Danio rerio: one gene and its partners. The protein of the gene in region 1 purifies or fractionates together with the protein of each later gene. This does not show direct contact. Links are inferred from orthologs where the notes say so. Each region holds a gene or a part of one and is shown in the gene's direction. Other genes may lie near its edges. The genes, in order: map3k7, cyld, ripk2, chuk, ppp6c, ikbkg and card11.

Region 1 (4,090 bases):
ATACCTGAAGGTGCAGACAGAGATCGCACTTCTCAAACAGAGAAAGTAAGTCAGAGGAATATGAATCCATTCAAATAATCAGCATGTATAATACGAATTGGGGTTTTCATCAGTAACTTTTACACACTTTGCATATCCATTCATATAAATTTGAAATTAAATATGTAAAACACATTGTAAATTGGACTTTTTTTGTATAAAATTTTAAGATTTACCTTTTTATAATTGAGTGAAATGTGTTTGAAGTATTAAAATATTAAACTGGAAAAGCAGATTAATTAAAACTTAAACAAAAATAGCTATTCCTAAATGGTCAAATCAAAGTAAGAATAGGAAGGCAAAACTCATGTCAGAATTACTAACAAGAAGTAACAAAACTAACAATTGTACAATATAAAAATTATAGATAATACAAAATATTCACATAAAATGCAATAGTATATAATAATACGTAAATAACACTGGGATTACCACATAACCAAACTTTTTATCATTGATCATTCTTGATAATTGTAATATAATGACAAGATGTGATAAATGTTATTTAAATACCTACATATGAAATGTACTTAATTTTCATACATAGATCCTTTTTTTCTTTATACAATTACAGTGGGTATAGAAAACAATCACCCCCCTTCAAAATAGTTGCATTTTGTTGCATTGTAGCCTGAAATGAAGACAGACACATTTTTTGTTTAATCTAACTGTATTTACTTAGTGCAGCTTATAACACCCAACCAAAAGATATAACACCAAAATGTCAGAAAAAAAATTTACATATAAAAAAACAAAATTAATTGGTTGGAAAAAGGATCACCCTCTTGTTTCAGCGTTTGGTTGAATAACCTTTTGCTTTAAATACAGCCTTTAATCTGTTGCGATACGTTTCTACTAACTTTGCACATTTAGACTTTGCAATATTAGCCCACCCCTCTTTGCAGAACTGTTCAAGTTCAGTTAAATTTGATGGTGTCCATTTGTGGACTGCAGTACTCAAATTATTCCACAGATTTTCAATGGGCTTTAAATCAGGACTCTGACTTGGCCATGCCAGGACATTCACCTTTTTCTCCTTCAACCACGGTGTGGTCAGTTTTGCTGTGTGCTTCGTGTCATTGTCATGTTGGAAGGTAAACCTTCTTCCCATTGATAACCTTCTGGCAGAGGGCAGCAGATTTTCCTTAAGAATTTGTCAGTATTTTACCTCATCCATTTTTCCTTCTATCCTGACAAGTTCTCCAGTTCCTGCTGCAGTGAAACAACCCCATAACAAGATATTTCCACCACCATGTTTTATGGTAGGAATGGTGTTGTTTGGATGGTGAGCTGCATTGAATTTCTGCCATACATATCATATGGTGTTAAGGCCAAATAATTCAATTTTAGTCACTGACCATGACACTTTTTTCATGTGGCTTCTAGGTGGGTTTTGGCAAAGCTCTGTTCTGACTTTATGTTGCTTTTCTTGAGATGAGGCTTTTTTCGTGCAACCCTCCCACACAAGCCACATTTGGGGAGAATCGTTGATATTGTTGTCACATGCACACAATGACCACTCTTTGACATAAAATATTGCAACTACTTCAGAGTTGTTGTAGGCCTCTTGGTTGCCTCTTTGACCAGTTTCCTCCTGGCTTTTTCATCCAGTTTGGAGTGACGTTCTGATTCAGGGAGGGTCTGTGTTGTACCAAATACATTACACTTTTTAAAAATGGACTTCACTGTGCTTCTAGGCATTGATAAAGCATTTGATTTTTTTTGTATCCATCTCCTAACTTGTGCCTGGCCACAACTTTATCCCAGAGATCTTTTGACAATGCCTTGCCACCCATAGTTGATGGTTTGCTTTAGTTGCACTACCTGGGGTTGAAATGTTACACTAAAGCTATTTTCATGCTGAGCTGATCAAATTGACCACCAATGAAAGTTAAATTGTGTTGTGTGTCGTTAAGAAGGTGATTAGCTACATCTGATTGAGTTTACAAGTATTTTTTAGGAGGGGGGTGATCCTTTTCACAACTGAGTGAATTCTGTTTCTATGCTTCCTGTTGTTGGTGTTATATCTTTTACATGGATGTTATACATTGTACTGAATAATTACACCTAGATAAAACAAAACTGTGTCTATCTTCATTCCAGGCTACAATGCAACAAAATGTAAATATTTTGAAGGGGGGTGATTCTTTTCTATACCCACTGTATTTACATTTTGCTTTTAGATTAAATATGGAAGAACTATACTGTAAATTAAAACATCTTTATTGTAAAATTTTACCATGAAAACAAGTTTTATTAGAATTTGATGAATATATATATATATTTTTAATAAATTGGGTACGATTCTGTCATTCAAACTGTTAATAAAAGAACTGCATTTGCCAGTGTTCATTATGAAATACATTAAAAATAAAAGGCTATTTTAAAATAAAGAATTTTTAGTTTTGGTTTTCAGTTTGTCCTGATTCTTTTATTTATTTATTTAACCAAGACTTTTAATTTCAATGTATCACAACTAAAAACCAGAGTATTTGTATTTTTAGCCATAGGCATGGCCGGACAAAATCTGTGGACGTTTTTGCTATTTCTGTGGAGAATTTTGTAAAAAATCTACAGATTTATGTGGAATTTTAGGAGAATCGTAACTAAAAACTTAATATATGAAATAAAAAAAATAATACATTTATAACTATTATTTAATGTTTAAATCCACTTATTTGGTAAACAAAGCAAGTCTGTCATATAATATATCTACTAAATTACAGAAAATATTACTTTACAAAGTGTATTGTAAACAAATCATATGAATATATTAATGTTACTAATATTATATCACAATAATATAAGTGAATTTAATTTAAAAACTGAATAAATATAAATTTGCACACAAATAAATACATAGACTTAAAAATTGGCTAAAAATCTGCAGAAATCTGTGTGCGGAGATTCTGTGTGGGCCTAGCTAAAGTATATGCATTGTTTGTTTGTTTTTTCCCCATTCTCCCTCATCCCCTAATGTCTTTTGTCCATCTCTACAGGGAAGAGCTGATAGCAGAACTAGACCAAGATGAAAAGGATCAACAGAACGCATGTCGCCTCGCTCAGGAGCAAAAGAAGCTCATAGAGGAGAACAAGAGTCTGTCCACCTACTACCAGCAATGCAAGAAACAACTGGAGCTGATCCGAGCGCAGCAGCAGAAGAGACAGGGCACCTCATGAACCCTCTAATCATTAAAAAGAGCCAGACTGACTCTATCCTAACCACAGCCCCGGTATCTCCACCTCCCCAATCCAAACATTGGGGCTTAGCTATAGTTTGACCCAGAAACTCCATTATAGCGCCTCTTAAAACAACCCTTATGCACCCATGAAATCTCTGAAGATGGAAACTGTAGGACTTGTGCTCCACAGAGCAGGAGAACATGGGTCATTTCCACCAATGCAAACAGTAGCAAGACCCTGCGCTCAACTGCACAAGCATGCTGCGTTTGGCAGAACAAAAAGTAAATAAAAAATACAGTCGGACATCTGATAAACATGCAGATCTTCAGATATCCAGACAAACCAGCAAACACAAATGCAAGGACTCCTGCATTTTACATCAGAACTGCAGATGGAGGATGTTAAAGGAACAAATTAGATTTTTTCGAATGTCATATTTCCCCCCTTCCACATCCCAAAATTCCCTGAGGGGTTTGCCTTATTCCCCTCGAAAAGGTGTTGGCCCTCAAGAATGTGAAAGTGAAGTGGCTTTAAGATTCATACAAAAGCTAATTTTATCATTTTTAGATTTATATTTTATTTAGTTACATTCACTTTTGTGTGTGTTTTTCATTTTAGCCCATTTTATGCAAAAAAAAAATGTTCCTTATTTTTTCATATGTCTCTTTGCCCTAAAAAGTGTTATAATGTATTATTGATTGAAATTGGGGGATGTATATCTTACATATGCCTTGCATGTCGACCTTGCTTTTATGGAGAAACAAGGGACGATTTGTGTGTATGTGCGGCCTCGCAAGAAAACGCCAGTTTTGCAATAGGCTTCTTTTATTTTCCCGCTCCAAAAAAAAAAAAAAAAACAGTCATCAGT
Region 2 (4,090 bases), on another chromosome or scaffold:
CAGATCATCACGACTTGCCTAAAATAAAAGATATAAAACAGTTCAAGTATAAAACAATGGTAGCTTAAACGTTAAAGAATGTGTGCTATTAGGCGCATACAGGCACGTGCACACATAGGGCTCAACCTGTGCAGTGCACATGCCCTTTTAAGTCTTGGATAGAAAGTGCCCTTCCAAAATGATCAAAAGTGCCCCCGCGACGCGGCACACCCTCGGTCCCGCCCTTCAGTAGGCGCGCGACAACACCGCTCTTCAGAACGCGCGCAACAACAACCCCCCCCCCCCCCACCCCCCCCACCCCGCTCTTCAGAACGCGCGCAACAACAACAACCCCCCCCCCCCCCCCCCAGCTCTTCAAAACGCGCGCAACAACTACCCCCCCCCCGCTCTTCAAAAAATTTCTCCTGCACATGCCCTTTGGATGGTCTCTGCACGGCCCTGGGCGCATAGTTTGCTTATAAAAAGCTTGCAGGACATCGCGGCGCCAGAGCAATCACTTGCATTTTTTCAGTGGGAGCAATTTAAAGTTATCCGTCATTTTAGCTCACAAAGTACGAGTAATACATCAAAAAACGTTACAGCGTTTTTATAAAATAAAGAAAACCAAAATTATGCGCTTTCTGTCGTCAGGTTTTTGAACAGGAGCGCTTAACAAAATGAAGCAAAATGTATATGCCTCACAGACATAATAAATATATTTATAGAAAGCTTTAAATTATTACTTAACGAAATAAAACAAATCGAAAACGAAAAAACTCCTTCATGTAATCCGTAAAGATGAACTTCTCTCTAAAGGCGAGTCCAAGAGGAGATTGCCAGTCAGGATCTTTGCGACTCAGAATAAGTTTATTAATAAATAATTATGATATGATCCTTACTCTTTCCTCGACACATTCATGGTTATTTGTTTTTGCCGGTGCTTGGGGCGAGTTTTAGCTTATTGTGTGCGCTTGAACGCGGTTTCACAGTAGCAGTTTTAACATGGAGTGACACGACATCTGACGTACAGATGACACTGGCACATGCCACTGAGTGTAGTGACACTTCCGGTGGCAAAACCATATTTAATCATTACGCGACTTTTAACCTAATTTATCGCGTCGCAAGTTAGTTTATTTGCTGAGCTACTCTTTTAATTTAAACGCATTTATTTTATGTTTTCGTAGTCATACTTCCGTACGTAATATAGTCATTTGACAGTACATGTCAGTCAAATTTATTGTGGCATGCTTATGTATGGGAGGGGTTACACTTATCTGTTGTACTGTATATTATTGCATCCTGGCAGTTCCTTTGTTCCCTACAATATGGACTTCTCTATGTTTTTAATTCATTCATTTATTTTATTATTTAACTTATTTTCATTTTAAGGTATTTTAAATAATATCCTTTAAAAAGTTTTAATAAAATGCATGTTGAAAACTCATAACATATATGCATGTAAGATAACAGGTGTCATTTGTCTAATGATTTTTAAATATTAAAGCAAAGAGACTTATAAGATTAAGGTGCTTATAACGTGCTTATACTGACACCTACTGGCACATGTCACAAGATCACTGACACTGGCATGTGTCTAAAAAGAGCCACTTGACAATAATGATGATCAGGGTTACACATAGGCTGTTAATATATTTGGGCCCAGGGGCCCACAAGTTATGTGTTAAAAGTGCGTTGCATACATAGTACCCCCACCCCTACTCACCTCAGGGGCAAGGAAAAAAAGTTCAGGCTCAGGAATTTTTTCCACTATCAGCCCTGTATATATATATATATATATATATATATATATATATATATATATATATATATATATATATATATATATATATATATATATATATATATATATATTATGGTCAATGTCTACCTGTTTCCAACCGTCTTCAAAATATCTTATTTTTTATCTTACAGAAAAGTGGAGGGTATGTATGTAAATGAGCCCAGAAATGTTTTTTGAGTGAACTATTCCTTTAAGAACAAACACAATTCACGCTTTTCATTATCAATTCATAGCATTAGCTGTGATTATCACAGATGAATTCAGATTGAATGATCAGTTCCTGGTCCTCCACACTGATGCATCATCTGCTCATCATGACATTTTCAGTGCAGCCTCTCATTTCTATGACCTTATTTCTTAACAGTCGGCGAAGACCCAGCCAAATCCCTGACCGACATGCCGCCAGACTTCAACCCAAGCTCATCTCCATCTCGAGCTCCGCCTACCACCACCTCGCTGTCCAATGACAACAAGTTCCACTCGCTGCCGTTCAGCTTGAGCCGAAAAGTTGGCCCCAATGGCAGCATGAGCCATGGGCCCCTTTCCCTATCCGCCGGCTCAGTGATGGGGGAGCAGCCGGAGCTCCTGCCTGCTGCTACACCTCTGCAGAGGGCTTCATCACCACCACAAGGCCAGCCAGGTTTAGAGGTCGGGTCAATGGTGGAGGTCAAAGAGAACCCACCGCTGTGTGGGGTCATCCGGTGGGTTGGTCTCCCTCCAGGACTACAAGAGTCACTAGCTGGACTAGAGCTGGTTAGTACATTCGTGTGTGTTTGATAAACTGTAACTATATTATTAAGGAAGGTTAATACGTTACTAATCAAGAATTTGGGATCAGAAGGGCATTTTGCTTAATAATTAATAACTAATACTATTTGTCAAGAAATTGTGTGTTACATTTGTTTATTTTCTGTTTCAAATGACCCTTTTTGTTTTCTACTGTCTATTCATCAAAGAATCCTGAATGCTTCTCGATTTCCACAAAAAAGATGGAAGAACAATTAAAACTTTCGGTTTTCATGTAAAATGCCAAACATAATTTTGAACAATTATTTTTAGCATTCTTAAATGAACCAATGCAGCCTATTAGAATGGTTTCTGAATGACCATGCCATAATGATGCTGAAAATTTAGTTTTGCCATCACAGGAATAAATTATATTTTAAATGATTTTACATTATTCATTCATTGATTCATTTACCTTCAACTTAGTCCCTTTATTCATCAGGGGTCGCCACAGTGGAACAAACTGCCAATTTTACATCAGAAAAATGAAATTTGTGTCTTCTATACTAAATATACTAAGGGGACCTATTTGGCAAAATATATTCCATAAATAATTCCTATAATCTAGAACGTCTAGTAGTGCAATTAAAAAGAAAATGGGAGGCAGAACTGGAGATAGAATTATCAGAAGACATGTGACAATCCATTTAGATAATATTTACTCCTCTTCAATTCGTTTAAAACATACAGTTAAACAATTTAAAGTAGTACACAGATTACATTGGTCCAAAGTGAAACTAGCCAAATTTAAACTGAATATAGAGCCTAATCGTGACAGATGTAAAATTGAGCCAGCTACACTCATATGCATCTCATATGTTTTGGGCTTGTTCAAAATTAAAGGATTTCTGCCAGCTACTGTAATACTTACATTTTTCTCTGATGCTTTAAATACCTATATAGAACCTGAGGCCATAACTTCAATATTTGGTATCACATCACAGTCCTTATGTTTTAATAAAAGTTGGATAAATATGATTGGCTTAGCTATGCTTTTAGCTAGAAGGTTAATATTGCTCAAATGGAAGAAAAATATCCTTCAACCTTTGAGAAATGGCTTATGGAACTTGACAGTAGAAAAAATATGATACACTGTAAGAGGTTGTACTGATAGGTTTTTTCTCACTTGGCAACCTGTTTTAGATCATATAAAAATGATGGACCCTTCAGTTATATACATACATACAATTGAAATTAGAATTATTAGCCCCTCTTCGTTTTTTTTTTTATATTTCCCAAAATATGTTTGACAGAGCAAGGAAATTTTCACAGTATGTCTGATTATATTTTTTCTTCCTTAGAAAGTCTTATTTGTTTTACTTCGGCTAAAATAAAAGCAGTTTTAAATTTTTTAAACACCATTCTAAGGTCAAAATTATTAGCCCCTTAATCTATATATAGTTCTTTCCGATCTACAGAACAAACCATCATTATACTGTAGCTTTCCTATATATCTCAACCTGCCTAATTAACCTAGTTAAGCCTTTAAATGTCACTTTAAACTGTATAGAAGTGTCTTGA
Region 3 (4,636 bases), on another chromosome or scaffold:
TAAGTGTGACATCACGCGAAGCGGCTTCCGGGTCCAAGCGCTCTATTCAACTGAATAGGGAGACTCATGAAATGGTAATAATAAACGTTTTCAAAGCGATTTAATACTTTCGAAAATCACGATCGCTATATATATGTCCGTGCCTAATATCCGATGGCCAGAAAGTGATTCGTTTTTTTATAAATTGTTAAAATTTTGGTATTTGTTATGTAGCAAGCCCAGAAATTGTTGTGTACACTATGATTTTATATAAAATTAACTTTAATGCGTGATGGGCATAATCCACTCAAATGAATGGCTGCTTGGACCCGGAAAGAGTATTACATACGTCACCAACACGTAATCACTTAACAAGCAGGTAGGCATATGTAGCTCCGCCTTCTTTTGAAAAGAGCACAATCTCACTTGAATTTAAAGCGACAGTCACCAAAGCGGCACAATTTCAATCAAAACTTAAAAGGGGCAGTTTTGAATGGTTACAAAACATTATTTGTGGGGTATTTTGAGCTGAATCTTCACATACACACTGTAGTTTATTTATTATATTTTTTTAGTTAAATTAAATTGAGTGCTGATCAAAGATTAATCGTATCTAAAATAAAGTTTTATCATTATAATTGTGTGTTAAATATATTAATCATCTATATGTGATAGACACACATAAAAACAAAATGATACAAAATTTTGTTACATGGATAATTCAATTTTTAAACAAATTGTTAGGGGCGGCATGGTGGCCTAGTGGTTCGCACTTTCGCCTCACAGCAAGGTCACTGGTTTGAGTTCTGCTAGACCAGTTGGCATTACTGTGTGGAGTTTGCGTGTATTCCGCGTGTTGACGTGGTGCTCCGGTTTCTTCCACAGTACAAAGACATGCACTATAGGTGAATTTGATTTATTAATTGGCCGTAGTGTATGACTGCGTGTGTAAATGAGTGTTTATGGGTGGTTCCCAGTACTGGGTTGAGGCTGGAAGGGCATCTGCTGCGTAAAGCATAGAAAAGTTGGCAGTTCATTCCACTGTGAAGACCTCTCAAATAGAGACTAAGCCAAAGGAAAATGAATGAATAAAAATAAATTGTTACATATACATATATTTTATATCTAAATATAAATAAACATATTCTCAAATATATGAATGCATGTGTGTATTCATATATACATAATAAATATAAACAGTAGACACAAGTCAAAAACTAACTTTTATTTTGGATACGATTTAAATTTTTGCCCAGCAGCACTAATAAGGTATATGCAGAATGACTTTTAATTAGTCAGTAACCTGAGTCAAGCACTAACGTTGAACTGTATACTGTTACAATATCGGCGCATTTAAGGTCTGTTTACTTTAAAAATCAGCAACCTCAACTGTCTGAGTGATAACCGATATAAAGTGGATCTCAGAATGTACAAGAAGCCGACTTCCGGTTTGGCTGCAGAGGGAAATGGCAGGTTGAGCGCTTAGCTCTCGCAAGTCGGCGTTATATTTACCCCCGTGTAATTATTTTAGATTTTTAAAAAGTGATTTTCCTTCATTGATATGACGGGGGGAAAGAAAGGCAGAGGTAAAGGGGCGCAAAGTACAACGAGTAACCACCCACACCGTGCAGGCCTAGACGAGGAGGACGACATGCGGGAAGAAGAGGACCGACAAAATGGAGGCGAATCAACATCTGAGAATGTGTCCACGGGGCTTGAAACCTTAAGCAAACAGATCAGCGATCTGAAGTCGGAACTTAAGGAAGTCTTAAAAACATTCAAAGACGAAATTAAGCATGATATGAGAGAAGAGTTCATTGAGTTCAAACAAGAAGTTAACCAGCAACTTTCAACGAACATGCTAACCATGCAAGAACACGGTAGGAAAATTAACGAGATGGAGACGCGGATCGATGACACCGAAACATGGAGTGCGGAGGCCAACTCCGCCCTTCAACAGGCAATAAAGGATCAACAGAAACTAGAAGACAGGTTGAACGATATTGAATCGAGGGCTCGACGAAACAATATCAGGATCCATGGTGTACCAGAGAACGCTGAACAAGGCTCGGTGATAGAATTTGTTGAAAAAATGCTCCGCTCCGAATTTGAGCTCGGCGATGTGGACTTGCAAATACAACGCGCGCACAGAGCCCTGGCGCCTAGACCGGGCCCAAACTCGCGTCCGAGGTCCATTATAGTAAATTTCCAGCAGTACAGCATCAAGGAGATGGTTATTCAAAAAGCCTGGCGAAAGAAAATCATGATGGAAGATAAACCGCTGTTTTTCGACCATGACTATACAGCCACCGTTCTCCATCAGCGCAAAGCGTACGCCAATATTAAAAAGGCTCTTAAAGAAAAGGGCATCCGTTTTCAGACGCCCTTCAATCGGATACGCATTCACTGGGAAGAAGGAGTGCAGGTGTACGGCAGTGCTGGGGAGGCAGCGCAGGAGCTGCGTCGGCGGGGATACAGCGTGGAGATGCCCGTGAGACCGCCGGGTAAGAGCCACCTGTTGGATCGTCTCCAGCGGGCTACATCGTGGCAGCGAGTGGGATCAACCACGAGTGTGGACACTGCCAGAAGAGCTAAAGAACGCCTACGGGAATTTGAACATGGTCGCAGCAATGTTTAAAAACCCGCATTATAGCAACCCTTTACATAATGATGTTTAATGTATGTGCGCCGGCTGGCGGGATGACGAGGTCAGCTGTGCCATTGGACACACGTAAGTGATCTATGATACACTCTGTAGCGGACTCATTGGTGAGGGGGCCCTTTCCGGGAGAGAGGATTTCCCCCTCCTCAACTGAAAACGTGAGAACGTTCTTCAGACTTTGGAAGTCTTTATTCTTTTCTGTTATAATGCTTGTTCTAAGCAGTTCTTGGCTTGTTTCTGTGTTACAGTTTATTTTATTTAAGGTTTGCCTGTGGAAACATAGTGGTGTAAGAATGACTCTTTTTGATGATGGTACAGTCTACTGAGGTTAAGCTAATGTCTTTAAACGTGAACGGTTTGGGTAACCCAATTAAAAGGTCAAAGGTATTGACAAAATTTAAAAAAGAGAAAGCAGATATTATTTTTATGCAAGAAACTCATCTCTCTCAACAAGAGCATGAGAAATTAAAGAGATTTGGCTTTAAAAATACTTATTACAATTCATATGAGCATTCACATAGAAGGGGAATTGCTATTCTTGTTGCTAATAAATTTAAATTCGAATTATATAAGGAAATAAAAGAAAAGGATGGGAGATATCTTATTGTTAAGGGTAAAATTGAAGAGGAGTTAATAACTTTAGTAAATGTGTATGCTCCACCCGATACTAGTAAACTGTTCTTCAAATCATTAATGGATGTAATTGTACTGGAAGCAGAGGGTATTTGTATATGTGGTGGAGATTTCAATGTGGTACTAAACCACCATTTAGACACAACTAATAGCAAAAGAAATGGGAGCAAAATATCAAAATTAATTAACACAGCCTGGGATGACATAGGATACTGCGATGTCTGGCGACATATTAATCCATCTCTCAAAAACTACACTCATTACTCAGCTCCCCACCGTACATACTCTAGGATTGATTATTTTTTTATGCCAAAAAATGACTGTTATAGGGTGAAAGATTGTAGCATTGGAGTAGCTGAGGTCTCTGACCACAGCGCTTTGTACCTGACAGTTCAAATAGAAGGAAGGAAGAGAAAGACAGGTTGGAGGTTGAATGTGGGTTTGTTAAATAACAAAGCAAATACAGAACAGATAAAATTAAATATAAAAGAATATATTAGGATAAATGATAATGGAGAGGTAGACCCATCCATAGTATGGGACTCATTGAAGGCTGTGATGCGTGGGAATTTGATTGCACTATCAGCGCAAAATAAAAAAAAGAGAATTAAGGAGTACAATACCCTAACATCAGACTTATTAAATGTGGAGCAACAACACAAAATAAACAGGGATCCAAACCTACTATCACGTATGCAGCAAATAAGGAAACAGATTAACAGCCTGTTGGAACAAGATGTTGAGAAGAAAGCTCGATTCTATAAGCAGACATACTACGAATCCGGCCCTAAAGCAGCAAAATTGCTTGCCCGACGCTTACGTAAACAAGAAGTTGATAGCACTATTCATAGAATACGAGACCCACAAACAAATAATTTGGTTTATCATCCACAGAAAATAGAGGACATTTTTCTAAATTATTATAAACAACTGTATACGGATGCTTCTAACTCTAAAATGGAAGCGACAAGAAATTTTCTTAATGAACTAGATTTACCAAGTATAGGCAAAATACAAAATGATTTCATTACAGCAGATTTCACACTAGAAGAGATAAATAATGCGATTGGGAGACTAAAAACATCTAAAACACCAGGTAGCGACGGCTTTCCAGCCGAGTGGTATAAAACTTTTAAAGAAATACTAGCCCCACTTCTGTTAAAAACATTTAACTGGATTAAAACAGAATGTAAACTTCCACCTTCATGGAACGAGGCTATCATCTCAGTACTCCCAAAGGAGGGTAAGGACAGGGAATTTAGCTGCAATTATAGGCCCATTTCAATTCTTAATATAGATTATAAGATATATACATCAATTATAGCCAAAAGATTAGAGACTATCCTTCCTGAATTAATTGAC
Region 4 (4,090 bases), on another chromosome or scaffold:
TTTTCAGTCGCTTTGGTAAACTTCTCAGATTTGAAATTTGCTAAGCAGTAAGTGCATTTCTCAAAACAGCACATACAAATAGCCAAACAGCATGGATTACCTGCAAAGGCCAGTCTCTTGCTTAAAGTGCTTGGTTCATCTCTCAATGAACATGTCAGTGCCGTCAGAATGACAAGTCCTTGTGTCATTGTGTACGGATAAGACAGTCAAATTACTTACTCATGTTGTCAATGTAACAGCGTACTCTGGATGGACGTCCTCATGTAAGCTATACGGCTAATTTATTTCATTTTTAGATTGACCTGGGAGCAATTTACCAATTATAGATTTAGAAAAAAAACGTCTAATGGAAATGTACAGAAAAATGCATTATGACTAAATATTATGACAACTTGTTCAACTTCTTTTATATAGAATATATATCTCGACATTAACTTTTTTCTCACACCCCACTGGTCATTTTTACGAGACAAAATTTTGTTGTTGAAAACTGTAAATTTGACTTTTGCATGCAAAAAGTACTTGAGTAGGAGACATTTTACTCGATTTGGGTCATTAAAATAACTCTGACTACCAATATAATGATATAGGTAGCCTATATCTGCTGTAGTAACTTAAAACCTACAGTAGTTTGACAAAAAAAAAAAGACCAAAACAATACCCATTCTTGTCTTAAGGAAATTTTTATTGAGCATTTTTTTGAAGAACAGTAAGTTCATGACATGTCAAATATATAGTATATTCTGCTGGTTTTAAACATACATACATAATAATAAATACAGTCATGTAACAACCATAACATTACCATTGTGTGTGTGTGTGTGTGTGTGTGTGTGTGTGTGTGTGTGTGTGTGTGTGTGTGTGTGTGTGTGTGTGTGTGTTTGTGTTTGAAGAGGTATATTTCCATTATTCCAAATTAAGCAGGTGTGAGGAGAATAATTGCGGAACAAATTTTCCAGTTCACATGAAATTATCATTTGAAGATCTGAAGAAATTCAGGTCACCGACCTTGTTTTCGTGACAAGTTCCTACGTCCTGAGTTCAGCTCCAAGAACTTTACTTTGCCCATGCATACAGCATCTGTTAAGACCGACCGATCCTAGATCAGCCACAAGAAACTCGGGCGTCTTTTCACGCTCTGCGCGTGCGTGAAAATTGTTTCGCTTTTGACTGGAGTAGCAGCTGACTGGCGTGGCCGCCGTCAACAACAGTTAACATATAAGTGAGCCAGTCAGTGATACTGTATTTAATCATAATTCAGGCCAGAAATATTTAGTTTTTTAGAAATTCACTTGCGATCTGGTATTTTTTCGTGCCCAGTGTTATGGAAAGCTGACATTTGGGGGCATGTGAGACTGCAAGCTAACTGCTCATGTCGAGATGTTTACGTGTAGCTAGTTAGCCAGTTAGCAAATCTAAAATCCGACCCGATAGCTCGTTTAAGGATGAAATGGACAGCTCTGCCGTTTCCTATGGATTAATTCGCTCATTTTACAGCTCACTGAATTCTCCACATTATATGTGGCTGGTTAAAGCAAGTTAGAAACACAAACGGACGCAAGGTAAGTCACCGGCTGACACTTTGGATTAGCTCGCTTGCTAGCAGTGCCCTAATGTCTAAGTAAATATTATGACGCAAATGAATATTTCGTATTTATGAATCCTCTTTTGTATTGTTTACACCGAAGAAGCCCGTAATAGTTTCCTCAATAGGGCCCAATGTACATAGATCAAACGGCAGCAGCTTTCACAAAGTGGAATCCAGTGATTTTGTATTATAAACTTATGATGAAATGTTTGATGTGTACAGATGGAGAAACCCCCTTTCAGACAGAATCAGGTCTGTGGCTCATGGGTTATGAAGGAGAGGCTTGGAACAGGAGGATTTGGCCATGTCTATTTGTATCAGAATCAGGTACAACGTTTTTATTTTTATTTTTACTATTTATACTATAGATGTTTTGTTGTTGCTTATTTATTTTACTTGTAAAGACTAATGTTGGAGTTTTCACTCTTGGTAATACAGTTTTTTTTTTTGCTTGCAGGAAACATCAGAAAAAATAGCTGTGAAGCTCTGTCGCCTTGAGCTTAATTCAAAAAACAAAGACAGATGGAGTCGAGAGATCCAGATTATGAAAAAGTGTGTACATCTATTATAATCAAATGATTTATTTGTTTTGAGAATTTTACGTGTATATATACACGTAAAATATATGTATATTTGGTCAAGATATAAAATTTTGTCTTAACAATAATCTTGACCAAATGCTATTTAATGAAAAGAACTTGCTTTTTTGTTGAAATCTTGGTAAAAATCCTTTCAGACCTTAAAAGAAAAAACAAATATTAACAATTCGTACTGAAACCTGGTTGAACATTTTTTGTTTTTGTAATGGCAATTTTTTACATACATACACTTTCAGGAATTGAAATAATTATTTAGCATAATAGATGTTTATTTAACTAAAGAATATATTTGTTCTATCCTGTGCTTATTTAAATATTTATAAAATTTAAGTGATTGCACTACATCCCTACATTTTTACCTGATTAAACACATAGTAAGTATAGAAGGATAAAGCAAAGTTTAAGCATATCAAAATACATTCAATCAGTGGTTTGAGGCCGCAGCATGATCCTTATTTACAGTACATAAGTGTCTTAATATTGTGTGTTTGTACACCTTTAATTGTTACATTACTTAATCTAATCTTTTTTTATCCTACTTCTAAGGCTAAAGCACCTTAATGTTGTCACAGCAAAGGATGTGCCTGAGGAGATGATGCACATTGCCTTGAATGATTTACCACTTTTAGCCATGGAGTATTGTTCCAAAGGAGATCTTCGTAAGGTGTGTGCGTGTGACCATAGGCTTTTCTTTTGTATCTGTCAGATGTGCTCTTATATTAAGTTCATTCTGACTCATTTCTGTTTTTTAATTCTTTTTTTGTAGTTGTTGAGCAAACCTGAAAATTGCTGTGGGTTGAAAGAGAGTGAGGTGTTGTCTCTACTCAATGATGTTGGTAATGTGTCAAAGCCTGTTGCTTCTGTTTTTAGTATTTTTACCATCAATAGCTGAGGGTTGTGTGTCAAACTGAGTGTTTTCTTTTGAATAGGTTCTGGAATCCAGTACCTTCATGAGAATAAGATCATACACAGGGATCTCAAGCCAGAGAATATTGTGCTGCAAGAAATTAATGGAAAGGTATTTACTTTTTAGTGGTTAGAATTTTATTCTATAGACATGCTTTTCAAACATGGGTTATGTTTTGTTGTCTATGCAGCTTGTTCACAAGATAATCGACCTTGGTTATGCCAAAGACCTGGACCAGGGGAGCTTATGCACTTCATTTGTGGGGACTTTACAATATCTGGTATGTTTTAACCTGCATTATTTAGAAATATGACAGTTATGGCAATAATCTCACATACACTTTCATATGCTGGAGATTTTTTATTAAGATGCAGGGAATTTTTTGTGTCTAATACCTGTCAGTTTTGAGATTTTGGAGATTGTTCTTTGTACTCATGGGAAAAAAAACATCCACAATGCAATTTTAAGTGTTTATTTTATACTAATTTATAATTATAGAAAAAAATACCATTGTTATTTTAATAACATATTTTTTAAGGCTGTTACCTCAAAATGAGTTTTTCACTTGTAGTGATCCCTGTTTTTACTCCAGTATCACTTACACCAAATTTCCTTACAGTACAAATTACACCAATATTCCAAGTTTTATTCCTATAGGTGTTCTAATGGTTTTTACATTAGGTTTAGATTTATATAAGATATGTCTGGTTATGTAGAAATAAAAACAATAATATAAAATAATAAAACCAAAAAAACAGTAAAAAGCTTTTTTTCCATAGCATTTCCAGGGATTGAAATTGTGACCATTTTGGTCGCATATGCGCCCACAATTTTATCTATGCGACCTCAAAATATATTTGGGAGCATTTGTGTAAGAGCATAAAATTGTTGTGTGCAACCAGTTTTTACTGCAAAATGTTCACCACATGCACGGATTGGGTAGACATTCACACAGAATGCATCTTTGCACTTGAAACGCAGTGCGCAGGAAGGTTT
Region 5 (3,386 bases), on another chromosome or scaffold:
CAATTCGCGTCACGCCATTCGCGCCATGCGCACCGCACAATTCTCGTCATTCGCGCGTATCGCGCCGCAGGATGTCTATTTGCGTGTTTGCAATGACTTAACATGTAAATCACTCGCGCTTGATGCGTGTGCCACGTCTGGTGTGAACGCAGCATGAGACCACTATAGGTTCACATCTGTAGTTCACTGAGGGTTTATGTGCGAAAGCACTAAGCGCCACGTCTGAACACATTTTTACAAATATGAGGCCTATGAGCCAAAATATTTTTAAAATCGTTGTGGAGGTCATAGTCGAATCTAAATTTTGATTAATTGCACAACCATGGTTACCTATTATTATTATTATTTTGGTGGACTTGTAGCGAACTTGACTTCAAGTGACTTTACTTTGAAAAGTAACTCTTTATGTCCATGTCTCCCCTGAGTCTTGCACTGTAAGGCTCACTGGAAATTTTTCTTGCGGCTTTGGAGCTGCGAACATCCAAACGTACAGTAGCAGCCACTTACTTGACAGCAGGGAAAGGCACAGCCAATCACACTGTGTCTGTATGCTTTTGGGGGAGGTATAGAGCTCAAGTAGAGAACATGATATTACCTAATAGAGAACAACAGACAGTTGGTTCGTTGTAGTTGATTCTATTTTTTTTTTATGAATTAGGTAGCTTCTGTAGCATGTACATACAATGGATTTATTGATTATGAATGTTATTTCAAATGGCTTTTGATACTATGAATCTGAATATTTTTTTATTTTTAAATGGAAAGAACTGTCATTAGTAGTTTATAGAATTAAAAACAAATCAATTGATCTTTTTCAATTGTGTACATAAATTACACAGATTCGGGATATTATTTATTGTTGCAATACATCATTGCAGAACTAGCATAAAATGGTTGCAATATATTCAGTGCTTCAAACTAAAAATCATATCGATTGGCTAGTTTAACTTGTCAATTATCTAATAATTGTTGTTTGTTTCTCCCACAGTTGATAGATGAGCAGATCCTTTGTGTACATGGTGGCCTTTCACCTGACATCAAAACTCTGGACCAGATACGCACCATTGAACGCAATCAGGAGATCCCTCACAAGGGAGCATTTTGTGACCTTGTTTGGTCCGACCCAGAGGACGTGGACACCTGGGCTATCAGTCCAAGAGGAGCTGGCTGGCTGTTTGGTGCTAAGGTCACTAATGAGGTAAAAATCGCTCTCAAAGTGCACAGTCTGCTTTGTTTTTGGCTTTTATAACACTTCCCTATGGAAGATACTATTGCTCTGTAATTACAGATTGAGGTCTGCTAATTATTTGTTGATTCTAGGCATGGGCCTGTATAAGTTTTGCACGGTACGATAAACTTGGATAAAAATACCACTGTTTCACGTTGTTGCGATTACTGCTTTAAAATAAGTTAACTTTAATTTTTTTTTTGCCGTATTAAACACAAAATATTTAATTTTAGTAGACATTTATAATATTTTGGAACACTAAACATGTCAGGCTAAATAATTAAAATGCACCATTGACCTCTGCACTCTTCATATGTTTCAAAAACACAGATTAATTTACAAAACACAAAAAAAAAAACATTTAAAAAAAGCTTGCATATACCTTAGAAATGGTACGACAGTAAATATTAGCGGTTTTAAAATCAAACCATGGTAAACCCTGAAACTGCTTATCATCCCATGCCTTGTCAATTTTCTTTGAACTATGCAGAAACTGAGTTTTTGTGTGGCTCATACTCACTGCCTAAGTAATAAAGATGGAGACTTAGTAGTTGGCATCTGCATGTACATTCTAGTGCACAGTGTCTGAGATTGTAGTAAAAGTAAAAACCTCACTTCATGCATAACCTAAATCTTTTTATTTGTTTTTTTCTGTTAAAGTTTGTTCACATCAACAACTTGAAGCTGATTTGCCGTGCACATCAATTGGTTCATGAGGGCTACAAATTTATGTTTGATGAGAAGCTGGTGACCGTCTGGTCGGCCCCAAACTACTGCTACCGCTGCGGTAACATTGCCTCCATCATGGTCTTCAAAGACGTCAACACACGGGAGCCCAAGTTATTCCGGGCCGTTCCTGACTCAGAAAGAGTCATACCACCGAGAACGACAACACCCTATTTCCTCTGAGGTCTTCATTGTTGCCTATGTCTCGCCCTCTCCTTTTCATGGTTGTCATGAGCTCTTTTATTGTCTTTATTTTCTCTGTGTTGCTTTTTTTTTTTTTTTTAACAAATATTTTTGTAAAGATGGAAGTGCTCTCAATAATAACAACAGAAAACTATGGTTACAGTTCTGAACCCTGTTGAAAATGTTTTAAGTTGGTCGTTATTCGGTCAGTATAATCTTGTTAATGTGAGCGTAATGAAGTGAACATCCCCATGCTGTACTTGCAGGCCTTTTAAATGTAGACCTAAGAGCCGTTGACCATTTAATGACAAGCATTTATAGTGTAACACCTCGCCTGATCAGAACAATGTGGTGTTTGTGTTTTTCAGAGCACAGACCAGAAAGAGAGTCACTAAAACAGCTATGTTCTGGTCAGTTTGCTCCCAATTTCTCCAAGACAAAGACACTTTTGTTTTTCGTAGCTTTCAAGTGTTGAAAAGGGTTGAAGCAATGATTAGACAACAGGACAAAGAAGGCTGTGATTATTTTGTACATTAATATAAATTGTATTGATTTAATCAACTTTTTTTTCTCAGATTTGTTGTATTTTATTATTGTAGAAAACGGCAGCCCATTTACCAATTAAATATTGAGAATAAACGCCTTTATTATTAAGTTACATTTCTGGTGTTGTGTCCTAATCAATCGAAATATTTAATTACACACACAAGTTTAAATGCACTAAAATAACACACCATAGGGAGGCGCGCCTTCCTCCCTTGTCCATCCAACAGGCAGAACCGTGGAAGGCAGTTCTACGCTAGTCCCGCCTCAAAGTGTAAGTTGTATTCAGATTGACACCGCAGCCAACCAATGAAATACCTTGAACGTCACTAACAGACCGGAGGGAATCTGACAAGCACGCTAGTTTGAGCGGGTTGCCACAAAACAGTCAATGAAAATTCAACTGGCCAGACTGAACCGTCGACCGCAGCAGATGCCGAATGGCAGATACTCCCTGCTTTTCCCTGGGAGGGTGATTTGAATGAGTTGGATGTAAATGACGGTGCGCCACCGCACTGGATGTCTAGATTTGTGTCGGGGAGAGATTTACAAGCGCGCGCTACCCGGAGACGCCGTTCTTGAGGAGCTGAAACAGAAGAAGCTGCTCTGAACTACATCAGTCTCAGGTTGGCTCTCAGATCACTGACTTTTTTAGGGGTACTGCACTCAGAGTAATACGCTAGGGGAAAAGGCAAACACTGCCCAA
Region 6 (4,559 bases), on another chromosome or scaffold:
AAAGGGCGATAACTTCCGTCTAGGTCAACAAGGTGTTGCACGACTAACCTAGATTGGGTACCCGACCTTTGTTTGAAGGTAATATTATTCTAAATTAAGTTCATATGGGAAACCATGGGCTTGGTGAAAACCAAAGTTACTATAGAGTCCAGTAGTCGGGTACATTTATATTAATGCCCTAACCTCTAATTAGAAATGATGATTGTCTTAACTCAAAGGTGTACATCTAAGCGGGACTAACTAAAGTATTTTAGAACGAGCGCGCTGGTAGCAGCCATCTAAAGTATTAGTCAATTTACCTCTGTTTAATATTCAAGACTGACCGGAGTGTGACCGTGAGGGACGCCTTCGGCCAAGGCGATTTCTCTGAGCGACATGAGCACCCGAATGAACGGATGTAATAGTTACTAGTGAAGACAAACGGTTCAAACATTTATCTAAATTACATATTGACATAATCTTCTTAATGTTTTATAATTGGAGTCAGATAAAACGAGGATAAATATATTAATATTCTAAACCACCTCATATTAAAATTGGAGTCAGATATGAGTTAAGTTTAATATAAATCAACATTGTGCACTGGAAAGACCGAACATGCAGTGAACCTTCATCCACCATTGGATACCGTCATTGAACCAACTGGCTGGACCTTACAAGTGGATGAAAACATCCCCAACCCTACATAAAGCTTAATCAAAAATATTTTCTCACCAACAAGGTCAATGAAGATAAATAAATTGAATCAACAATTTTTTTAAATTGATCAACAAATTTTATCCCATAAAACTATTTTTGAAAAAGTTTCATGCTAATATTGATGTAAAATGTTCATTTTGTCAATTTTATACAGAAACAGTTTTTCATTTATTTTGGGAGTGTAATTATGCTTTACAATTTTGGGAACATATTGGCTCATTTATTAATGATAATATACAATACAATGTTTCTGTTACTTTTAAAGAAATTATTTTTTGTTATGAATCTGCCTCTACTAAGAGAAATGCTTGTTTTGTTATAAATTTAATTTATTTTCTTTGTAAATTCCATATCCACAAATGCTAATTTACTAATACTAAACCATATTTTCCTTTTTTTTTTTGCAAAATTTAGTCATTATATACATTTATTTTAATTTTCTAAAAATAAAAAAACAAACAGAACTATTTCAATTCGTAATGACTTTAATTTATGTTCTGTTATTGCTTCTTAAATGTCTTACCCTCAAGTTTATATCATGTTCTTTATTCTTTTTTCTTCTCTCTTACTCTCTCGTATCTCTTTTTCATTGACAATGTAATTCATATTCTGTATTGTAAACAAATATTGCTACAAAGTTGTCAACTGTTTTTTTGCAAAAAAAAAAAAAAAACTACATAAAGGTTTCCAAAAGTGAAATATATTAACATATGGGTTTTCAGAAAAGTAAGCGTATATGGATATCCTGAAGACATGAAAACAGTTAAATCCTAATTTTAAGAAGGCATCGCTCAATAACTTCATTTTGACTAACTTATTTGCTGTCATTTTTGTCTTCCCATAATTCCCCTACCCGGAAACAGCACGCAGCGCGGAAGTACACGGGGGATTTCCTCGACAGTGTGGGCACCTGTCTGAACTCTTCTAGACGTTTTCATTTGATATACTTTATCAATCTCGAATTCTCGATTCAGACTTTCCAGCTCGGTGGTGTTGAAGATGTTGGCCTACCTGAGCGTCCGTGGCTGACTTTAAACCTGCCTGTGTTTCCTCGGCGGAAGACCGACAGACAGTGAATCTGTGCTAGCGCAGAGTCAAAACACTGTTAACGGCGTAAAGAAGGTAGTGATTACTCTCATATTTTATCATACGATATGTTTATCAATGTCTTCATGTGTATGTAATGAATGTGAGTCGTGTTAGTGTGTGATTTTAAATGTTTATTGGTTTAAATGCGGTAAAGCTAGTTGTGTTGTTAGCTGAGCGCGTCCATCACGAGCCTGTAAACAAAACAAAACCGAGTCTCGTATATCGGATAACTGCTAATTTCAATCACAGTATTGGACTTAAAGTGTCTTTGAGGATTGAGGTAAAATTGTTTTTATATTCGTTCTTTCTCTTTAATAATATAATTTCAGAAAAGTATTCTTTGCGAATTCTAAATAGGGAAAATCATAATAAGTAGACAAAGATGATCATAGTACAACATTGTACACAGTCAATGACATAGTGCTAACTGTTAATGTTGTTTTTAAATCATACTAACATGCTATTTCAGACTTAATATTCAAAGTAGCGTGGTAAACAATATGGGGACAGTGTTACAAGTTATCAGTGAATGAATGTGCAAATTTACCTCAGTCTTTTAAACCTCGCGCGTTTGTCTTTAACTTGTGAAATAATCTTTGTTTTGACAGCGAGATATCATGACATCGACTTTGTTTTCAACTTTGATATTTGATATTTCTTTTCAAATGTTTTAGAGGTCGTTAATATGGCGAAAGTGTCATTGAATGACTCATAAGTTATCTGTGTCTTGTTGAAAAGTGAAACAGTAAAAGCAGAATTGAACGTGAGACATGTATAAAATGATATAGCTTTACATGTTAAAGCTAGTAACATGAACAGGTACAGGTATTATCATTTACATATTGTCAAAATGTGGTTACTGGTAACATTTTACAATATGGTTCCATTTGTTAGGATTAGATAACATGAGCTTACTCTGAATACAATTCAATTAATTTCTATAGCGCGTTTACTATGTAGATTGTGTCAAAGTAGTTTAACATAGCAGTTCTAGTAAATGGAAACTGTCAGTCCAGTCTTCTGAGTTGGTTCAGTTTAGTTCGGTGTGGTTTAAATTTCATGGCTGAAAGTCCAAACACTGAAGAGCTAATCCTTTGATGCGCAGCTCCACAAGTCCCAAACCAAGCAAGCCAGTGGCAGCAATGACGAGGAACAAAACTTTACTAAATAAATTAAGTGAATGAAAAAAATAAAAAATCCTTTAGAGAAACCAGGCTTAGTTGGGCACAACCATTTCTTTTCTGCCCAAACTTCCTGTGCAGAACTGAATTTTTTTAAATGAAATTTTAGGCTTTATTTATAAAACATTTACACATAAATTAGTGAAATCAAGGTAGTTCACTTAAAAATGAACATTTTGTAAACATTTACTTACTCGCCCTCTACTTGTTTCACATCTGTTTGAGTTTGATATACTGAAGAATGCTGGGAAAAGCAGCCATTGACATACTTTCACTTTTTCTACTAGGAATGTCAATGTTTTTAATAAAAGTTTAGAAACACTTGAGGGTGAAGAAATGGTTTGGGTGAAATGTCACTTTAATATTATTCAATGGATTCGAGCTAACTGTCTTAATATTCTAACTAATTCTATTAACTATTTTAATAACATTACAAGTTGTATAATTATTCAACTTTAGTATGTTTTACAATTGTTATTTTATTAACAATTTAAATAAGTTAATAGAACTTTAAATGTAAAGTTATTATAAAATAATTTTGTGGTGCATATGTCATTTTAATATATGGAGTTTTGTTTCCATTTTAGTTTTATTGATTGTATTTAAGCTGTTAAGTTTAGCCTGCTTACACTGTAAAAAATGTAATAACAAAGTCAAGGCAACATATATTTTTATGTTGCTTTTATTTTAATTAGTTAGTCAGCTTTCAATTATATTGTAACTTATACAAAGTTTATTTTTATACATTTTAGTCAGTTTAATTGATTTTAATTTAAGTTTAATTTAGTTAAGATGACTACAAAAGTTCATTTAATTTTCATTTAAACAGTTAAGGCAGCAAGTTTTTCTTTTTCAATTTACTTGTTTGTTTTAGTTTTGTGTTTACGTGCAAGCAATGTAAAATTTTTAGACCAAACAGAGATAACAAATATTTATGAATTCAATTGCAAAAGTCACAAATACAGGTCATAATTGATATAAAGTGTACTACATGTTTTCAATGATTTGAAATACACAATTGAAATGCGTACACCATTAATTTCTTTTCAGAAAACTTTTTAAAACTATTTTTACAATGATTCCTAAATAGTAATAATAAACGTATTACTCATTGCTAGTTAAAGCATGAACAAATGGGACCCTGATTGTAAAGTGTTATCACCATTATTATTTATCCACCGCAGAAATTATTCTAAATTTATCTGAATATTTTCATCCAAGAATCTTAAAGCACTGCAGTAGTCTTGGTGATTAAGAGCTGTAGATGATCAATGCGGTCTTTTGTTGTGTCTGTCAGGATCATGGTCCAGCCGCAGCCGTCCGGTGGCTGCACTCTGCAATATGAGTTGAACGGAGAAGAGACCGCAGGTTCAGAAGGTCAAGTCTCACTCATGGCCAGTTCACAGGGCTCATTGAGGGTCCCTGCTGATTTAGCTGGAAATGAAATCGTTCAGAAACTCATAACGGACAATCATCAGCTACGTGGTAGGTCTAAATGATTTCCTGTAATACCAGTCAAAAAACTGAACAGGGTGTTTTTGTTGATGTTTAATAGAAGTCTTTTCTCCTTACAAAGGCTGCATTTCATCA
Region 7 (4,090 bases), on another chromosome or scaffold:
ATAGCTTGAATTGTTAAAAAAATGTATAACAATTAATTATTTAAAAAAAAAATAGTGTTTCTTTGGTGATAAAGTGATAAGGACATTTCACCATTAAAGTAACAAACAAATATATAAGAATATATATGAAATATATAGGAATATATTAGGATTTAAATCATTTAAAAATTATAATATAATTTATAATAATTTGAAGGTAAGAATTATCCCAAACCTGATTAAAATAAGCAAATAAAATTTTTAATGAAGTATTTATTCATTCATTCATTTTCTTTTCGGCTTAGTCCCTTTCTTAATCTGGGTTCGCCACAGTGGATTGAACTGCCAACTTGTCCAGCGCATTTGACACAGCGGATGCCATTCCAACTGCTAAACTCTCATACACTCTCATTTACACACATAAACTAAAGCCAATTTAGCTTAACCAATTTACCTATAGCGCATGTCTGTGGGGTAAACCGGAGCACCCGGAGGAAACCCACGCCAACACAGCAAGAACATGCAAACTCCACACAGAAATGACAACTGACCCAACCGAGGCTCGAACCAGCGACCTTCTTGCTGTGAGACGACAGCACTACCCACTGCGCCACCGTGCCACCCACTTTGAAGACTTTTTTATTAAATGAAGTAAATATATGTGAAAATAAATAATTACATACATAAATAAATACATACATACATTATAATGATTAGAAAATGCAGTATTGTTGCAGTAGTATAGAAATCTATTATTTTCCAAGAATGGGGGATTATAATCATATTTGGGAACAATCATATTGGGGAACATTGCAAACAAAACACCCTAATTTTATTGATTTGATGTTTTTTGGAAAAGCTAAATTTAGTGATATACAATTTTGCTAATTTTACTTTTGACTTGATTGGCATTTATTTTTTTAACTGACATGACATGAAAAAAACCTACAGTACATATTTAATTAAATTAAAAGCGACTTCAATTTTGTCGAACATGTACTATATAAAGTACCTTAATAAAGTCGACATTAAGACATTACTCTGTATACTTTTTTAGTTTTGCTTGTGGTTTTGTTTCAGGCCGGCTGCTGGATATCCTGCACACGAAGGGAGAGCGAGGCTATGTGGTTTTTCTGGAGAGTCTTGAGTTGTATTACCCTGACCTCTACAAACTGGTCACGGGGAAGGAGCCGACACGCAGATGCTCCACTATAGTCGGTGAGACACTTTTAAATTAAAATACTGCACATATAAAAGATCTATGACCATGTTTTAAAATTGTTTGTTGCCTTGCACCTGCTTCTCCTGTGGGATGAGTATCTGCAATAAATCCCATTTCCAAATCCCATTTTAAGCAGTTGCTTCTAATAATAATTAATACATATAATAAATAAATAAATAAATAAATAATAATATGTAAGCACCTTGGTGGTACACTAATAGTATCAGAAGGTGCTATATAATTACCATACTCGTACAATATAACATATAATTGACATATCAAGTATACTACAGTGCAGCCGGAAAGTATTCATATCGCTTCACTTTTTTCACAATCTTTAATGTTACAGTCTTATTCCTAAATGTATTTAATTCATTTATTTCCTCAAAATTCTACAGACAATAGCCCATAATGAAAGTGTGAAAAAAGATTTTTTGAAATTGTTGCAAATTTATTAAACATAAAAAACCTGAAAAAACACATGCGTATAAGTATTCACAGCCTATGCTCAATACGTTGTTGATGCACCAGTGGCTGCAATTACAGCCTCAAGTCTTTTTGAATATGATGCCACAAGCTTGGCACACCTGTCTTTAGGTGTTTTGCTGTACCTCTCAAGCTCTATTAGGTTGGATGGGAAGCGACGGTGTACAGCCATTTTCAGATCTCTCCAAAAATAAGATTTAGGTCTGGGTTCTGGCTGGGCCACTCAAGGACATTCACCAAGTTGTTGTGAAGCCACTCCATTGATATTTTAGTGGTGTGCTTTGAGTCATTGTCCTGCTGGACGATGAACCGTCGCCCCAGTCTGAGGTCAAAAGCACTCTGAAGCAGGTTTTCATTCAGCATGTCTCTGTACATTGGTGCATTCTTCTTTCCCTCCATTCTGACTAGTCTTCCAGTTCCTGCTGCTGAAAAACATCACCACAGCATGATGCTACCACCACCATGCTTCACTGTAGGGATGGTATTAGTCTAGTGATAAGCGGTGCCTGGTTTTCTCCGAACGTAATGCCTGGCATTCACTCCAAAGAGTTAAATTTTAGTCTCGTCAGACTAGAAAATTTTGTTTCTTATGGTCTGAGAGTCCTTCAGATACCTTCTGGAAAATTAGAGGCGGTAAGTGGCTTCCGTCTGGTTAATCTACCACACAGGCCTGATTGGTGGATTGCTGCACAGATAGTTGTTCTTCTGTAAGGCTCTCCTCTCCACTGGAGCTCAGACAGAGTGACCATTGGGTTATTGATCATCTCCCTAACTAAAGCCCTTCTCCCCCGATCACTGAGCTTAGAGGGCCGGCCAGCTCTAGGAAGAGTCCTGGTGGTTCCAAACATCTTCCATTTACGGATGATGAAGGCCACTGTGCTCATTGGAACTTTCAGAGCAGCAGAAATTTTTGTGCCTTGAGACAATCCTGTCTCGGAGATCTACAGACAATTCTTTTGTCTTCATGCTTGGTTTGTGCTTTGACATGCAATATCAACCCTTGGACCTTATATAGACAGGTGTAAGCCTTTTCAAGTCATGTCTAATCAACTGAGTTTACCACAGGTGAACTCCAATTAAGCTGCTGAAACATCTCAAGAATGAGCAGTGAAAACAAAATGTACCTTAGCTCAATTTAGAGCTTCACAGCAAAGGCTGTCAATAATTATGTACATGTGATTTTTCAGGTTTTTTATTTTTAATAGATTTGCAACAATTAAAAAAATAAAAAATAAATATAAATATATATATATATAAATATATACATATTGTCATTATGGGGTATTGTGTGTAGAATTTTGAGAAAATAAATGAATTTAATTTATTTTGGAATAAGGCTGTAATATAAAATTGAAGCACTATGAATACCTTCCGGATACACTGTATATGGTGTTATTGGTGCTTTTTTCAGTTCCCACTTCTTATAGCTATTAATATAAATAAGAACTAGTTCTCAATTACACTGACTGGTCAAACAGAGGTTATAATCATATACTACTATGTACTAACATCGGTAAATGAATGATTTGTGTTCATATTGTGTTGCAAGATTAGGGTTAGGGATAGGCTTGGTGGTATGGTTAGGTTTATGGGTGGGTAAAGTGTAAAGCAGGGGTCTCAAACTCGCGGCCCGCGGGCCACTTGCGGCCCTCAGTGCAATACTTTTTTCCCTAGGACTTCAATAAGTCAAAGTACAGGTCTAGACTTAATGATGATCATCTTCAAGCCATACTGAGGGTCTCAACTGCTTCCGCTCTAAAGCCAAATGTGGTTCAGATTTGTGAGAGGAAGCGCTGTCAAGTCTCTGGCAGCAAAGAGTAGGCAAAAGATGCCATGTTCAGAAGAACTGTTCATAATCTTCACTCAATGTTCTATTAATGTTCAGGACACTTCATGTTCAGAAGAAATAATTAAAACTGTTAATAATGACATTTGAGGACTTTTTTTTTGTGAAATCCCTTATGCGGCCCAGCCTCACCCAGACTTTGCCTCCTGCGGCCCCCAGGTAAATTGAGTTTGAGACCCCTGGTGTAAAGGATAGGTTAATGGGGTAGTCATATGTAATTAAATAAAATATTTACAGCGGTAACTGCGTGCAGATCTTTAAAATATCGGTTCAAAATAAAACCTGTATGTACACAATAAGTGCATTGCACCAAATGATCCATGTAAGCACATGGTAGTTAAAGTCACTTGATATAAGGTGGTACACCTATTTCTCATTTACACTGAGCGGTAAGGTTCAGCATAGTACAGTACAGTATGGTTCACCTCGATCAGGCTTTCATTTCCACTGTCACTAGTATTCTTAGTTGGTAGGCATGGTGTGCACCAGAGAGTTGCAATCAACGTCATCCACATATCGTACAGTATCTTTTGCATACTAAAGTTCATTATTTCAAA

What was found.
Region 2: the proteins of map3k7 (region 1) and cyld purify together in Homo sapiens (affinity purification with western blotting; 4 studies listed by BioGRID, with this or other methods). This does not show direct contact. The link is inferred for Danio rerio from reciprocal best matches to the Homo sapiens genes MAP3K7 and CYLD.
Region 3: the proteins of map3k7 (region 1) and ripk2 purify together in Homo sapiens (affinity purification with western blotting; 4 studies listed by BioGRID). This does not show direct contact. The link is inferred for Danio rerio from reciprocal best matches to the Homo sapiens genes MAP3K7 and RIPK2.
Region 4: the proteins of map3k7 (region 1) and chuk purify together in Homo sapiens (affinity purification with western blotting; 9 studies listed by BioGRID and IntAct, with this or other methods). This does not show direct contact. The link is inferred for Danio rerio from reciprocal best matches to the Homo sapiens genes MAP3K7 and CHUK.
Region 5: the proteins of map3k7 (region 1) and ppp6c purify together in Homo sapiens (affinity purification with western blotting; 3 studies listed by BioGRID and IntAct, with this or other methods). This does not show direct contact. The link is inferred for Danio rerio from reciprocal best matches to the Homo sapiens genes MAP3K7 and PPP6C.
Region 6: the proteins of map3k7 (region 1) and ikbkg purify together in Homo sapiens (affinity purification with western blotting; 8 studies listed by BioGRID and IntAct, with this or other methods). This does not show direct contact. The link is inferred for Danio rerio from reciprocal best matches to the Homo sapiens genes MAP3K7 and IKBKG.
Region 7: the proteins of map3k7 (region 1) and card11 purify together in Homo sapiens (affinity purification with western blotting; 3 studies listed by BioGRID). This does not show direct contact. The link is inferred for Danio rerio from reciprocal best matches to the Homo sapiens genes MAP3K7 and CARD11.

The regions. Positions count from the first base shown.
Region 1 is NC_133195.1:26,768,431-26,772,520, reverse strand, and holds the end of map3k7 (mitogen-activated protein kinase kinase kinase 7), read left to right. Parts: coding exon 1-45; intron 46-3,038; coding exon 3,039-3,219; 3' UTR 3,220-3,497; downstream 3,498-4,090. UniProt on the Homo sapiens protein: Serine/threonine kinase which acts as an essential component of the MAP kinase signal transduction pathway. Plays an important role in the cascades of cellular responses evoked by changes in the environment.
Region 2 is NC_133182.1:37,739,073-37,743,162, reverse strand, and holds part of cyld (ubiquitin carboxyl-terminal hydrolase CYLD), read left to right. Parts: intron 1-2,147; coding exon 2,148-2,536; intron 2,537-4,090. UniProt on the Homo sapiens protein: Deubiquitinase that specifically cleaves 'Lys-63'- and linear 'Met-1'-linked polyubiquitin chains and is involved in NF-kappa-B activation and TNF-alpha-induced necroptosis.
Region 3 is NC_133177.1:7,877,556-7,882,191, forward strand, and holds the start of ripk2 (receptor-interacting serine/threonine-protein kinase 2), read left to right. Parts: upstream 1-1,422; 5' UTR 1,423-2,710; intron 2,711-4,636.
Region 4 is NC_133188.1:28,581,448-28,585,537, forward strand, and holds part of chuk (inhibitor of nuclear factor kappa-B kinase subunit alpha), read left to right. Parts: intron 1-1,440; exon of another isoform or gene 1,441-1,562; intron 1,563-1,810; coding exon 1,811-1,915; intron 1,916-2,045; coding exon 2,046-2,140; intron 2,141-2,733; coding exon 2,734-2,851; intron 2,852-2,953; coding exon 2,954-3,023; intron 3,024-3,116; coding exon 3,117-3,205; intron 3,206-3,284; coding exon 3,285-3,374; intron 3,375-4,090.
Region 5 is NC_133180.1:32,607,950-32,611,335, forward strand, and holds the end of ppp6c (serine/threonine-protein phosphatase 6 catalytic subunit), read left to right. Parts: intron 1-988; coding exon 989-1,198; intron 1,199-1,888; coding exon 1,889-2,137; 3' UTR 2,138-2,795; downstream 2,796-3,386.
Region 6 is NC_133198.1:21,496,728-21,501,286, reverse strand, and holds the start of ikbkg (NF-kappa-B essential modulator), read left to right. Parts: upstream 1-1,578; 5' UTR 1,579-1,821; intron 1,822-4,266; 5' UTR 4,267-4,270; coding exon 4,271-4,454; intron 4,455-4,559. UniProt on the Homo sapiens protein: Regulatory subunit of the IKK core complex which phosphorylates inhibitors of NF-kappa-B thus leading to the dissociation of the inhibitor/NF-kappa-B complex and ultimately the degradation of the inhibitor.
Region 7 is NC_133178.1:40,597,843-40,601,932, forward strand, and holds part of card11 (caspase recruitment domain-containing protein 11), read left to right. Parts: intron 1-1,059; coding exon 1,060-1,197; intron 1,198-4,090. UniProt on the Homo sapiens protein: Adapter protein that plays a key role in adaptive immune response by transducing the activation of NF-kappa-B downstream of T-cell receptor (TCR) and B-cell receptor (BCR) engagement.